Linked DNA regions of Notamacropus eugenii. The protein of the gene in region 1 purifies or fractionates together with the protein of each later gene. This does not show direct contact. Links are inferred from orthologs where the notes say so. Each region holds a gene or a part of one and is shown on either strand. Other genes may lie near its edges. The genes, in order: COX5A and COA3.

What was found.
Region 2: the proteins of COX5A (region 1) and COA3 purify together in Homo sapiens (affinity purification with western blotting; 3 studies listed by BioGRID and IntAct, with this or other methods). This does not show direct contact. The link is inferred for Notamacropus eugenii from reciprocal best matches to the Homo sapiens genes COX5A and COA3.

Annotation. Positions count from the first base shown.
Region 1 is NC_092872.1:241,100,410-241,108,078, forward strand, and holds the start of COX5A (cytochrome c oxidase subunit 5A, mitochondrial), read left to right. Parts: upstream 1-4,524; 5' UTR 4,525-4,789; coding exon 4,790-4,901; intron 4,902-7,669. UniProt on the Homo sapiens protein: Component of the cytochrome c oxidase, the last enzyme in the mitochondrial electron transport chain which drives oxidative phosphorylation.
Region 2 is NC_092873.1:359,329,625-359,336,328, reverse strand, and holds COA3 (cytochrome c oxidase assembly factor 3 homolog, mitochondrial), read left to right. Parts: upstream 1-4,253; 5' UTR 4,254-4,328; coding exon 4,329-4,650; intron 4,651-5,548; coding exon 5,549-5,652; 3' UTR 5,653-6,110; downstream 6,111-6,704. Other genes in the region: CNTD1 (cyclin N-terminal domain-containing protein 1), read right to left, coding at 189-285, 933-1,074, 1,346-1,508, 2,121-2,295, 2,541-2,616, 3,960-4,131. UniProt on the Homo sapiens protein: Core component of the MITRAC (mitochondrial translation regulation assembly intermediate of cytochrome c oxidase complex) complex, that regulates cytochrome c oxidase assembly.

The DNA.
Region 1 (7,669 bases):
ATTCTGTATAGATTCTACATATACTTTCCTATTGAGTATATTTTCACTATAGTGATGCTATGTAGTCAGACTAAGATAAATGAAAGAATCCGTATTACAAATCAGAACATGATACACAGATACACATACACAAACATGATCTGCTACATTATGTGAGTGACTTCCATATTTCTCTCTCTGAGTGTGGAAGGTATTTTGCCTTGAGGTCCACCATTGGGATTTTTTTTTTTTTCAGAAGTTCTTGTGTTATTACAAAAATCTGAGTCTACCAGAAAAAACTCTCACACACTGTGGTTGTTGCTGTGCATAAAGTTCTCCTGGTTCTGCTCCTTTCACTCAGCATCAGGTCATATAAGTCCTTCCAGGCCTCTCTGAAGTCTTCTTTATAACAGTATTTTTCAGATATCTTCAGACTTCTAAAAAACAATCACCCCATATCATTTAAATGCAGCATAGATAGTCTATTTCACATTTTGAGTGTGTTCCAAATAGTCCCAGTAAATCTTATTGTTTTCAAATTATGCTTTCTATTAGCATTTCTAGCTTTCCAGTATCTGCAGTCTTGTTTACCAAACCCAAATGAACTCTGACAAACTGGAGAACACACATTTGAATATTTAAGATGACCATTAACCAGAGGAAATAGTCATGCCATGTTTCTACTTTGTGATTGCTTTCATTCATAAATCCATCACAACATTCCAGACAAAGATCTAACCTCCTAATGTTATTAATGCTTCAAATTCTTGGTATCATTCTTAATATTAGCAGCACTTCTATATAATATTTTCCCAAAATGATAATGCAGGACACTTATAAAGACAGCACTAACTTAAAACAATCTTAAGAATTTATAAACAAAGACAAAACAAAACATTGCCAATCTAATAATATTAATGTAGTTGGCTGGATCACCAAATTATCAACACAGAAAAAAAAAATCCCATGAATCTGTCTTCCAATTTGTTTCTTCTCTGCTGAATGCATTCAGAGGCCAGTACAGAGTAGTTACCGTTTTGAATCTCTGTAATGTTAATGGAATTTAAGATCTTCCCCACCCATTAACAGGCTTCACTTGGAACCCATTAAGGGAAGATTGCTTAGGGGAGGTTTACTTTTGGGAAGGCTTTCACACCATTTGCTAATTTCTAATTAGGCATTGAGTCAGGAGGGTTGCAAAGCCTTCTGGCTCTGAGAAAGTTGTGTAAATACTCTGAGGTAAGGTTTTGCTTTAGGGACTTGCTTATGAGAAGGATCTTGTGATTCCCTGGTTGAGTCCCAGAGCAGCCTTCTGTCCAGAGCCCCCTCCCCCCCACACTACTCAAATGTAAAGGTTCTCTCCATCCAGGGATATATGTAAAGTGTATAACAATATTGCTTTGATTCGCACTGTAGAACCCTGTCTATTGGTCTTTATTTCTCTGCTTATATTTTCTCTGAAGTTCAGAATGCTGACTTTTCCCCTGAACTAATGAATGTAATTTTAAAAAGATTGTTGACTCCTTAAATAACTATCTTTCCTAGTAAAGTAGATCCAAGAACCTGTGCTAGCAGGTCATTCTGGGTATGCTAGAGTGCTTGTTGTTACAATCTCATAGTTACAAAAGATATGGCACTAAAAATTACTGTCCAAAGAATAGATCAATTATGCAATGAATGATAATTATCCCCATCTACCTCTCAGGGTTGTTGTGAGAATCAAGTGAAATAATAATAGCTGTAAAGTGCTTTGCTTACTAGTACTAGTACTAATGCTGCTGTTGCTACCAGAATAAAGGGACCTTCAGCCTGATGTACTAGATATTACTTGAAGCATCATTCATTTGAAGTCAGAAAGACCTACATTCACTCCCAGCCTCCAAAGTATAATACAGGCTAGCAAGTCATTTAGCCTCAGTGCCCCAGGCAACTCTCTAAGACTATAAACTACAAAGAGATTGCTAAAATGCATCAGGGAAAGGAATTTCAGGCTGAGGGTTTCACCACACCAAGGTAATCATAGATCTGAACTACAACAATAACAAAAAGTAGTTCAGACACCTCCTTTATGAAGCCTTCCTTGATTCACCCCATTATAAATGCTTTTTCTCCATCTGAATCTCTCATGTCACTCTCTTTGGACCTTTTCTATTAATATGTTATTGCTTGTATTCTAATTATCTGTGTATTGGTCATTTCCCCCTACTAGACTGCAAGTTCTCTGAAGGCAAAGGATCGGACTAGGGACTATCTTTGAGGTTTCAATCACTAACACAGCAAATCTTACACATAGTGGATGTTTGATAAATATTTAATTGAGGTTGAGAAGTGTACTGACTGGTTTTAGTCATGTTGGGTTTGTAACTGACAGCTAAAGCAGATGGAGCTGTCCAGCAGGTAAAGGGCCGGGAGAACAACAGTACTGGAGCTTGGTCTGGGAGAGTGGTCTGGAAGTTGTAGATTTGCTAGTCAGTTGTATAGATAATAATGGCCAACATTTATATAACAGCTCTCCAAAGGCTACAAAGCAATTTACCTACCATATCTCATTTGATTCTCAGAATAATTCTGTGAGGTAGGTACAATGGCTGTTACAATTCCTGGAAAACTGAGGACCAAAGAACACACATATGTGGTAGTGTCCATATTTGAACTTAGGTTTTCAGATTTCTGTCTTCCAGAGTCCTGTAGATACCCTACATGTCAGTGGAGACCACAGGCATAGAAAAATTGACAAAGGAAGGGTAAGGAAAAAAGAGTAGAGAAGGGTCCAGGATAGAAAGTACACCCATGTGTACTTTTGTGTTTGTCCTTCATTTTCAAAAAGGACCATGACATCAGGGAAATGATGAGGTGACTTGCAGTTGACTTTGATTTGAGTGAGGATTGTGCAAGGTCAGCAGTGTCACTTTCTCCTCCAGTCATCTGGATCCAGTGACCAGGGAAGACTCTCAGGGTTGCTGCTCCCAAGAGAAACAATTACCACTGACATTAACTGTAAGCCAGGAGGGCCCAAAATATAGCCTTTAAGTGGAGCTTGGGCAGGGACCTATTGTGGTCCAATCTATGTGCTTCAGAGTGAGCTGGGTTAAGGTTTTTTGAAGAGAGGAAGGAACGAAGGAAGGAAAGACTGACCTAGCCAGTAAACTCCAAGTTAACTGGGAAGCATCTGGAAATCAAAATTTATCTTCCTTTGGAGAGGAGAAAGAGAGGGAGAGAACAAACCGAGTTACCCAGCTAGCTGGGTCCCCATTCAGACAGTTTGGTCAACTCACAGGTTGTGTTTGTCCTTCGTTTTCAAAGAGGACCATGACATCAGGGAAGAAGACAGGACAGGCAGAGGAGGGCAGGAGAGTGTGGTGTATTGACAAAAAAGGGATGAGGGATTCTGTCGTTTTTTAACCCCTGTGGCAGAAGGAGATGGTTAGCAGGGTCAAATATTGTAGGGGGGTCATGGAGTGTGATTCTAACAAGATCCCTGAACATGGTGATTATGCAGTCACCAGAGATCTTTGGGAGGCGAGCAATTCCATGGAATTCAAAGGACAGAAGCTAAGCTACCTGGAGATCATGTCATTGATTAAATAATGAAGAAAGTGCTTTCAGAGGTATATAAATCCAATTAACATTTATTAAGCGCCTACACCATTCCGGCCACCAGGTCCGGCTGAAGATATAAAGACAAAGAAAGAAGCAAAAATATCCCCGGCTCAAAGACTTTACATTACATTCTCCTGGGATTTATTAACATTACTATAGCAATTCTTCACTGAAATGTCCTCTCTGTAGGAAAGCCCTCCACTGACTTGGAGTCTGCGAGCCTTTCCAGCCGGGCAGAACCCCCAGCCTTCGCGGTCCTCACCTAGAGGCCCCAGCTGCCTGTAAAGCACTGGTCCAGAGCCCTCTCCTCCACCCTGTGACCTTCCACTTGGCGTGCTCTGGGCCAATTGCCTCTTTCCAGTAGAAGGTTAATAAGCCCCTGACACGATGCTTGGCACACAGTATTAAGTCTAGTCCAATTCCCTTGGCCTTCCTCACTTTGCAGACGAGAAAGCCGAGACCCAGAGAAGGGAGGTGAGTTGACCAAAATCACTGATGCCTGTCTAGCTGGGGTAACCCCGGCAGACCCGGGATGAGGACTTTAATTGGAGCGCCGGGTGTAACACGACTCAACCACGTGGGGGCGCGGCGAGGCTGGTTGGCCGCCGCTAAGTCAGGGGGCGTGGCCCCGTGCGCGCGCTCCGGGCTGCCGGGAGGTTCTCAGCGTAGACTGAGCCAATCAAGGAACTGCCATAGAGTGTGCGATGCTAGAACCAACCTGGCGAGAGTCCCAGCGGCCTGGATATAGGCCTTCGCTCCCGCGATCGGAGCGAGGGCGCCGCCTGGCGGCCTCTTCTTTTCCTCTCCCTTTGGGGAATACGCCTTCCTCTCGTTTCCCTTCCCTCCTCCTGCTCGCCCTCTGGCCGCCCTCGTTCCAAGATGGCCGCGGCCAGTCACGAGGTTCAGCTGAGCGGGATGTGGTTTGTCCTCCCAGCGCCGCCATAGCCCCGCCCCTTCCCTGCCCCCTCCTCGGCGGCCTCGTGGCGTCCGCAGCCACTTGCCCCCAGAGCGCGCGCGCACGCGCGCCGCTGGCGCTGACTCGCGCCCACGCCCGCCCGCCCGCCCCGTCGGTTCCCCTTGGGCGAGCTCGGTGCCAGCCTCCCCCACGCGCATGCGCCGCGCACCCGCTCGCGCTCCTCAGCCTGTGTCCTGAGCAGTCGGCAGGCAGTCCGTGACTCGGTCAGTCCCGTCGCCCTCACCCGCTGTCACCATGCTGGCCGCCGCTCTCCGCCGCTGCTCTGCCTCGGTGCGGGTCTTGCTACCCAAGCCGGGGGCTGCGGCCCCTTCCTCCTGGTCGTCCTCCGCCTCTCCCGCCACCGCCGGTAAGCACCCGGCCCGCGCGGCCCGGCGTCCTTGCGGTGACCCGAGCCGCGGCCTAGCGTGACCGCCGCCGGCCAGGCTCGCCCGGGGGCGACTCCAGGGCCCCGGCTCCCCGGTCTGCTCTTTCCCGAAGCTGGGCTCCTCGAGCAGGGGCGCGGGCCCGGGCGGGCCTGGCAACCCGGCCCCTAAGGCGCGCCCTAGGCGAAGGTGACATTGAACGTCCGGGCGCCCGTGGGGTGGGGCGGAAGGGCCACTGGCGCCGCCCGGCCTCCAGGAGCACCTAGGGCTGACCCCGGTGACCCTGGGCCCGGGGCTCTCCGTGGGAGCCAGGGTCCGCGGCGCGTAGGAGCCTGGCTGTCCCGGCCCAAAGACGGAACCCTGCGGCGTTCAAGCCTCCGGGGGCCCCGTCCTCAGCCGGAACGGGGTGGGGGGGGGGGGGTGTCCCAGCGGGGTCGAGAACTGGGAGGAGATGAAGTTGTTTTCACCGACCTCTGACAGTGAAATGTAGCTTTTTTTTCCGTGGTGGAGTTGTAGTTTTTAAAGCGTTTGAGAAGGGGATGCAGGAGTTAGCACACCGCCGAAAGGGGCACACAAAGCCCAAGCGGCGCGGGTCCAAAATGACTTCAGAAGCACCCCGGGGAGTGCAAGGTAGTAGCGAGAGCCCCATTGTGCGGGAGACCGACGGGGTGGCGCTTGGAAATGCCCCTGCGATCTTACAAAGCCTCGGGTACGCACAGGTCCTTTGCTCGTGATACTAAGGGAGAAGGAAGGCAGCGTGCAGGAGTGCGCAAACACCCAGTGGCCTGGGGTCAGCAAAACCAGGACTGTTATCACGGGCTAGGAAGCCCTTTGTGCTCTCTGAGCATCTCCTTTGGCCGGGTGATCTCTGAGGTGCCTGCTAGCTGCAGAGCTGGGATTCAGCAGTCAGCCTTTATTATGCGCGCAGGTTCCGAGATGGGGACGGGGGATACAAGTACAATGCCACAGTCTCCTTGCAAGGAGCTTACATTCTAATAGGAAGACGGGTACCTAGACTAGAGAGTGTGCTGTGTGCATGCACTGCATATGGTAGGTTTTTGTTGAGTCACCTTTGATTCGTCCTGACCCCATAGACCGTACTGTCCGTGGTGTTTTGTGGCACAGGTACTGGAGTGGTTGCTGATTCCTTTTTCAGTAGACTAAGGCAAACAGGTTAAGTGATTTACCCAGGATCACATAGCTAGTAAGCGTCCGAGGCTAGATTTGAACCAGGTCTTCCAGACTTCAAGCCCAGTCCTCTATCCACTGGTCCACCTCGTTGCCCACAGCCGTGCTAAATACAGCAGATGCAGAACAAATACAGATACATAGGAAGTGGTTAAATTTAAGGTCTCCACAAAGGAAGGGCGCTAGCATTGGGATCAGCAAAGGATTCATGCAGCTAAAAGAAAGAGAGGAACTCTGAGAACCGGACAGCGAGTAACCCAAGGCCTGGAGAAATAGATAAAGTGTCTGAGGAACCAAGAAAAGACCACTTAGGGTGATCCTAAGAAATATGCTGTGTACAGGATCATGCTCTGCCGTGACTGGGACATTTTTAGTTTATGTTGAGAAATCTGACTAGGGTGTAATATACTCTGCTAATTCCCTTTTATTATCTTGTTACTCTTGTATCTGTTCTAGGAAGGCTTTATGGTAATGGCACTTTAATCCTAGAATCCCTGATGGTAACATGTTACAATTTGGAATTAAGCACTTAAGGTTGTGAATTTAAATACTGAAATCTGTAACACCATTCTTCCTGGGAAGCTCTAGTCTTTTTGGGGAATCTAAAGTTTGGCTTGTCAATCTCTGGAAATTTTAATTCCTCCTATTTATCTTAACGGTGTGTAAATTAGTATAGATCAGTGATTCTCGATCATTTGAGTTTCTGTATCTTATTTGTCCAGTTTTGTGATTCCCTACCCAAAGTGCCATGTTGATATATCTAGAGAGCATTTTTATTTTTAGAAAAAATTTAAATTTGGAAGTATGTCTTATAACACCAGTTGGAAAAGATTATCCTAGTGTCAGAAAAGAGAGTTTGGAAATCCTTCATCTTTATAATGGAAATTAATTGTATGTTTATACCATTGCATCATTCCTCTAGCCATTTTTTAGTTCTGTGTTTTTCAGTTTGGGGACTTTTGGGTTGAAAGCATTTTTTAATTGCATCTTGTTTTCCATTCTTTGGGGAAGCTCCTTCTTCCTATCTGCCCCCCCCCCCAAAAAAACCCATTTGCATTTAATATTCAGTGAAAAGAGAATATTATAAAAAATGTATTTTCCTACATGGAATTTACTTTTAAAATAGGAATGTGCAATTTAATTCTACATGATGGAGTTAAGAAACTGGGGGAAGAGGCCCTGAAAATTAAGAATATTAAAATAACTTCTAAATCTGGCAAGAAAATTGAACCAGCCAGATTTTAAGGTCCTTTTCTATCTTAATGTTCTCTGATTCTGTGTCTTCCTTCAGAGGATCTAGCCAAATGAGTAAGCTCTTAGGTTCGTGTTTATAGGGTTTTAAAGCATTTTATAAACACTAATGATCATAATAAGATTTTATTTTGTATAATTCAGCGTTTTACAGACCTTCATTTTGGACAAGTACTGCTGATAGTTACTTTTCACAAAATTTATACTGTCAACCTAAAAAACCAAGTAATCTAAAAAAGTTCCCAGGCAAAAATATAGCCTGATAACTGTGAATGCCTGAAACATAGTGAAGTCTTAAAATTGCTTACTTAAT
Region 2 (6,704 bases), on another chromosome or scaffold:
AATGCTTTAATCAGTAACCTTACCCCAGTTCTACCTCTCTACTGCCCATTCATCTTGGCACACTGATCTGTCTCTTGCTAGACTTTACTTTTTTCTGGTAAAGATAAATCTGCCCTTTCCCTTTAATTGACTGGGGAATGCCTTTTATTAAATGAATCTTGATAACAATGCCACTTAGCAGTGCATACCTGGCACCACCACTCCTGATTCTGGATGAAAGCACTGGCCGCAATGATCCCAACTGCCAAAAGCATGAAATCTTCTTTCACTGATACAAATTTTCCCCTGAGCAATTAAAATCACAGTTCAGTTTCATAACTAAGGTGAGAACCTTGTTTGCCTAAGTTTTGGGGTCATCCTTGATGTTATTTGATTATGCTGAGTATGGAGAGAAATTGTAGAACCAGCTGACTATCCCATAGGTAGCTTCCTCCCAACTAAAAACAAAACGGAACTTAAGGACAATATACAAGCCTCATTCATGTGTATTTGATTTACTAGTCTTTTGTGTTCCCATCTGTTATCCTAACAACATAATTGTGGGGCTTTCTCTCATCTGCCTTTACAGTAATCAGGCAATTTTGTCAAAGTTGCAGCCTTATGACTGACTTGTTTTGTCTGTTTTGTTTCTGAAAACATTACAACTTATGATCAAGAATCAATGATAGGAGGGATAATAGGAGATGTTAATGACTTGAATTCATTTAAATATTTTAAGACTTTAAGTCTTTTGGGTTTTGGTTGGGCTGAACTTGCTACATCAGAACAGTAAGTGCAAGTTCATAAATAACAAGCTCATGAGAATGAATACAACAATTATCTCTACCAAAGTGAGGGGACAAACTAGTTGGCCCTACTAGATCTGATCGACTCCTCAGGTCATTGTCAGAACACTGCTCCCAGTATTTGTAAGTCTATAAGAGGTGCCTTACCTCTGCTCCACAGGTGTAAAGTTCTCAATTGATGCCCTCAGCAGGCTTTCATAGATGGGTTCATGCAGGAGATAGACCAAGTCAAGTAATGTCAGGCAGGTTCCATGCAGCTGTTTGGCTGAGACCAAACAGCCATTATACCCTGGATGGGGGCATGGAGAGAGGTGACGTCACTACCTTTGTTTCTCCATCAAAGAAAATAATTGACGAAAGATATAGTCAGATTCCTCATAAATCAGGATAGTTCATTTCAAAGGTCATGTCACATTAGGTGACATTACTCTCCCTCTTCATCAGATTGCCCAGAGCCCTGGGGCACATTGCCTCTGGTAGAGGAGTCTCAAGATACACTTGGCATTTCATGGCTACTGTGTTTGCCTCATTTCCACTGAGATATCTTTTGAATGAGATACCTAAAACTTCTAGAAGCATCTCCACATATGCCAGAGGAGTGGGTAGATTGATTTGGAAGTTTAAAGACTTCAGAATAGCAAGTTCTGACTCCAGTAGTTCTTCTTTAGTATAAAGGTACCCTAGGGCCTGGAGGAAATTCAGGACCGTAACATTGCTGACTATCTGAGTAAAGAAAAGAGGGGGAGGGGACAGAGAAAAAGATTCTTTAATAAATTGGGGTTTTTGTCACAAAGATTGGGGTGAGGGGGAGTGAAACAAGCATAATACCATAGATGTAGAGCTGGAAAAATCTCATTTTACAGATGAAGAAACAAGTTCAGAATTCAAAGGTAGCAACAAGAGGTGGAATTTTAAACTCAGCTCTTCCAATTCCAAATCCAGTGCCCAGGGATATATATTTTCCCTTTTGTAAATCTAACCTTTAATGATGATTAAAGTATGTTGACTATTCAGGCACCTTATGCAAACTGTCCTTGAGTCCAAAGGGGAGGAAAGGTGACCTGTATATCTATATAATGATGGCATTAATCCAGCTATTGTGCTTTGAGAACAAGAATGCAGGTTGTAACAGCTGTGTGTGTTTAGTAGGAGTGCTTAGGAAATGTAATTGCACTCTGGAGTTTCTAAACGGGTAGAATCATCCAGCCGAGGGGTAGGTCTCTCAGAGCTGCCCTGTGGACAGCCTCTTTTATTCATAATATCAAGCTGTCCACAAAAGGCCAGATTTTAGAGCACAGTATGGTGAAGGTGGAAATTGCAAGACCAATTCCTTACTTTGTAATGGAAGGAAAGTTTGCTTGCCAGCTGAACACATGACACAAGTCGAAGTACAAATGTATTGCAGAGCTCTTCTTTCCGGGTCCTCCAGCTCCAGGGCTCTGCTTTCTCACTCCCTCTCACCACAGGTGCTGCTTGGCTGCAAATGCTTTCTGCTTGCTTAACCATGAACCTACAGGAGTGGGGGGAGGTCAGGAGTAAACAATCTGGACTTCAACACATTCCAGAGGGAGCATTTGTTCTTCAAACTCTGCTACATCTTAGCCTCTCCAATATCAATTTAAGACTTGGTTACGCTTGCAAGTAAAGGAGATCAAGACCAAGGTAAGAGGTGACTGGTACCATTTGAACAGGAGCAAGCACATTAGTTAATCAGAGAGCTACTTATTTGCCAAGGCCTTATGCCTGGGACTTTACCTTTCTAGGATTTCTACTGCTTGGTAGCTCACGGATTTTTCCAGGCGCCATTGTTCAGACAGGAGAAAAACGAATTCTGCCAAAATAAAAAAGAAAAGCCTGAATCACAAGATGCAACCCTAACCATTCTGAACTCTTGGTGTTGTGTAAAAAACCATGATTCAACCCAAGAAAGAGGGATCAGGAGGTGAGAAAGATGAGACTAGAATAACTAAAACAGAGCCTAATTTCTTTTGCTGCCAAGAATCTGATCAGAGCCAAAAAGGGAAGTCTGATTGAGTGCCAAGAACAAGGGCTTACCAAGCTCCTTGGTGACTTACTCCAGAAGGGTTCAACAGATAAGAGCTTTTACCTGGTACCAAAACACATTACCCCCCTTTCCTGCCCTCTAACTACATGCTCATGTTCCTGACTTCAGAGAGGTTCTTGAATAGATGAAAAATCCTAATTCCTATGAAGTTTAATATGAAACATAAAAATATGGTCCTGGAAGTTGATGACACTTCTCTGCTTAGAGGAGTTAAATCTTCCTCTGGAAGATGTGTATGTGTATCTTACCACCACCATGTACTTTAAAGTGAGCATGATTCCTCTGGTCTGTTAAATGGGACTATAGTGGCTAGATTTCTTCCCCACCAAGTTTTTTGTTTTTGTTTTTTGTTGCAGGGTTGTTAAATAGGCAGATTTTGAAAACACTAGGAAGGTGGGAAGAATCAGCTCTAACTGCCTCCAATGTTTCCCTTTGAAAAAATAGTCCCAGTTGGAATTGTTTTCCTTCAATATTTCCCTTTGAAAGATAGTCTCAGTTGGAATTGTTTGGCTTGCAGTTCCATTATAGGGTGGGAACCAGGGTAAATCTCAGTTCTGAGCAGAGGAACTTTCCAAGACCCCTGGGTTTTACATAAAACACCATCAGCGGCACTGCAGATGGTCAGATGTGGCAGCCAAACCCCGCCTCTTTACTGAAACTTAAATGTCTTTTGGTGAATCTACGATCCTCTGGACCCATGTGGCATATAAACACACCTATGTAAACTATCCATGCAGGGGAACAGAAAGCCCCCACCCCACACACAACTCTGCTGACAAAATGAAACACTAAGCTAATTCATGTTTGCTTGTATCCCCAGTGCTTAGCCCAATGCCTGGCACATGGCAGACACTTAATAAACGCATCTTGACTTGACCTTGGTAATTCAGACATTAGGTCCAGATAACTTAAGCCAAAATAAAATTCTAGGGTTACTTCTTGTTTGCTTTGGGGCCTGAATGATGAGGGCAATGGCTTCAGCTTTCCTCTGATTTGCCAGGGGAAGCTGGGGGTGGGGGTAGGGTGGGCGAGGACACTGGGGGGAGGGCGCTTTGGGTGTCCCTGGGGCAGGACAGATCCCATCCCCTCCAAGTCCTGGGCCCACACACCCACGATCCGGGTCTCCCTGAAGCTGCCCGTCTGCCCCCGGGCTTCCCGCACTGCCCTCTCGTTCTCCTGGGCCAGGTGGAGCAGGGCGTCTTCGATCGTCTGTGTGTCCACAGCGCCAAACTTGAAGTCGCTGAGGGAGGCCGACCCCCTTGGCCCTACAGCCCCAGCCATTGTTAGCTGACCCTCCCGACGACGCCAAACTTCCACACCGCCTCGAAACTTCGCGGTCTGTGCGCAGCCTCGTGCTCCCAACGGTTTTTCTAGGTCTGAAACGCAGAGCTCAAGGGTGCCGCGGGAGCTTCGGCCAATCAGAGGGCTCGCCCAGGACGCCCCGCCCCCTCCTCTGCCTCTCTCCCCCTTCCGAAGGAATGGCCAATCAGACTACAAGTACCAGGATCCTTAGTGGCGGCGGCGACGACCGAGAGGTTCCCTTCCTTCCTGGCGTGCGCCGTGGCTCTGACCCGCTCTGGAGTAGGTCGAGGAGTGAGATGGCTGATGCTAGTGCCGGATCCGAGGCCGGAAAGGCCCCGGTAGCGCAGCGCATTGATCCTGCGCGAGAGAAACTGAGCCCGGCCCAGCTGCACTTCATGCGGCAGGTGGAGCTCTCCCAGTGGCAGAAAACGCTTCCGCAGCGGCGGGGCCGGAACATCGTGACCGGCCTGAGCATCGGGGCCTTGGTGTTGGCCATTTGTATCTGTGGGTCACGGAGGCTAGGGGAGGGGGAGGAGGAGGGGAAACGAGGCTGGGGGGAGGGAAAAGAGGAGGAGGGAGAGGGGCACGGCGGGGGTGGCGAGGGGGGGATGGGGGGAGGGGGTGGCGGGAGATCCTAGGCCTCGGTCAGAAAAGAAACTGACGCCTAGTGAGAGGCGGTGTTTGCCCAAGGTCACCGCGCTAGTCAGTAACACAGCCGTGGCTAATGATGAGTTAACAAGTATTACCTAATTTAAGAATAGCAGTAACTAACATTTAGAGAGCGCCTACTGTGTGCCAAGCACGTTTTACAAAGGAGGTGCCGCTCTTACCCCCATTTCACAGATGAGGGAACTGAGACAAACAGTTTTGGGTGCCCAGGATCACGCGGCTAGTATCTGCCGGTGAATGGAATTCCCGGTCTCCTGGAGACCCAGGTCTTCCTGAGGCCACACCTCTATATCCTCCGTGCCAAGTAGGGGTCTTAGATTCTTCAGCTCCCAGGTGTAGCATTCTGCACTCAGGGAACACATAGCTTCCGGTGCTGGACTTTTGGTTTCCACCGACTAGGGACTCCTGATGGTGAAACTCTACCAATGCAGGTCTGCCCCTTCTTTGCAACTTACAGAGAGCCCTGGGAGAGGCGTGACTTACAGAGACAAGCCTTGAGCCCATATCTTGTTGGCTTTGAGGCTGACCTGCTATCCATTAGGCGCTGCTGGGAGCCATTGTGGGGGCTGCGGGTCTGGGGTGGGGGTGCAGCTGCTGTTTGAGATTCCAGGATGGTGTGGAGGCAGAAAAGCATAGACCACTGGAGGTAGGGGTGGGGAGCTGGAGGAAAGAAAGTTAGGAGAGTGCTCCAGTTTCCTCATGGTTTTCCTGAGCCGGTGACCCCCAGATGGGTATACATTCTACTCAGTGTCGCAGGAGCGGTTCCTAGATGATTTGGAAGACAAGGCCAAAGCTGCTAGAGTGAAATCTGCTGGGGCCAACAGCCCCTGAACCCCAAGTGGGTGCTCACGCTGTCTCCACCCTGGATGGAACTTGTTCAGAATAAGGATGGATGCCTCCACCTTCTGTACTTCCCCTCCCCTGCAAGAAAAGACTCCTACTGGGATAAGGCCAACCTGACCTTGGGATGTTGTTTTGTTATGGAGTTCCACCCTACTTTGGGAATTGTGTATCCAGCCAATTTGATGGGAACACCTGTTCCTTCTCCCCCCCACCAAAACAAAAGAAATTGAGCCTTTGTCACAACAGGGAGGAGGCACAACCAGATCACCCCCAGCTTTTTCGGGAGCATTTTATTCATGTCTTCATAGCTTCTTCCTACTGTAGAGATTTAAAGCCATTGTTGGGGGGCAAGTTTAGTATCTCTTCTCTTTGCTGAAACCTGATAGGGCAATGTTGGTGGTCAAGCTGAGAGCTGATTCACAATAAAGTGAATCATCTGTTCTAGAGCCATGTGAATCTATTTGGGGGATGGGAGTGGAAAGCTCTGCCAGCTATGGCAATTGTGTTGCCCTAAGGAAATGTGAATGTTTAACTAGAATGGCTTTTCCTGCGATCTTTCCACCGGATTAGCAGGTAAGGATCGTGGCACTCACTGGACTGTGTGAGGCTAAACTATCCTTCATGTACAAATATCTCATCTCCAGTTTCCCTCCATTGCCTGGGGCCTTCACAATAGCCTTTACAGGAGGGGTGAATGGGGGTCATCCAGCCCTCATGATTTCAGAGCTTGCCTGTGCAAGCCCAGGGTGGGGTTTGGAGGAGAGGTTAGATTGGTGGAGTTGATCATTGACCTTGAAATTAAGCTGCTGATGGCTTGATGCCAGGAGGCTGAGTGTCCTCCACCTCTGCTCCCCATTGTGAGAGATCTTTTAATCCTACCCCTGCCTCCCCCACCAGGCTGGGCCCTTCCACCCACCCTCTATTCCCTGCAGGGCTGACAGAGCAACAGACTCATTTCCAATAATTTTATTGGCTTTTGTACAAGTCTGACAGCAAGCCCAGCCTTCAGCTTTGGGGGGTGGAGTGAGGAGTGATTGGAG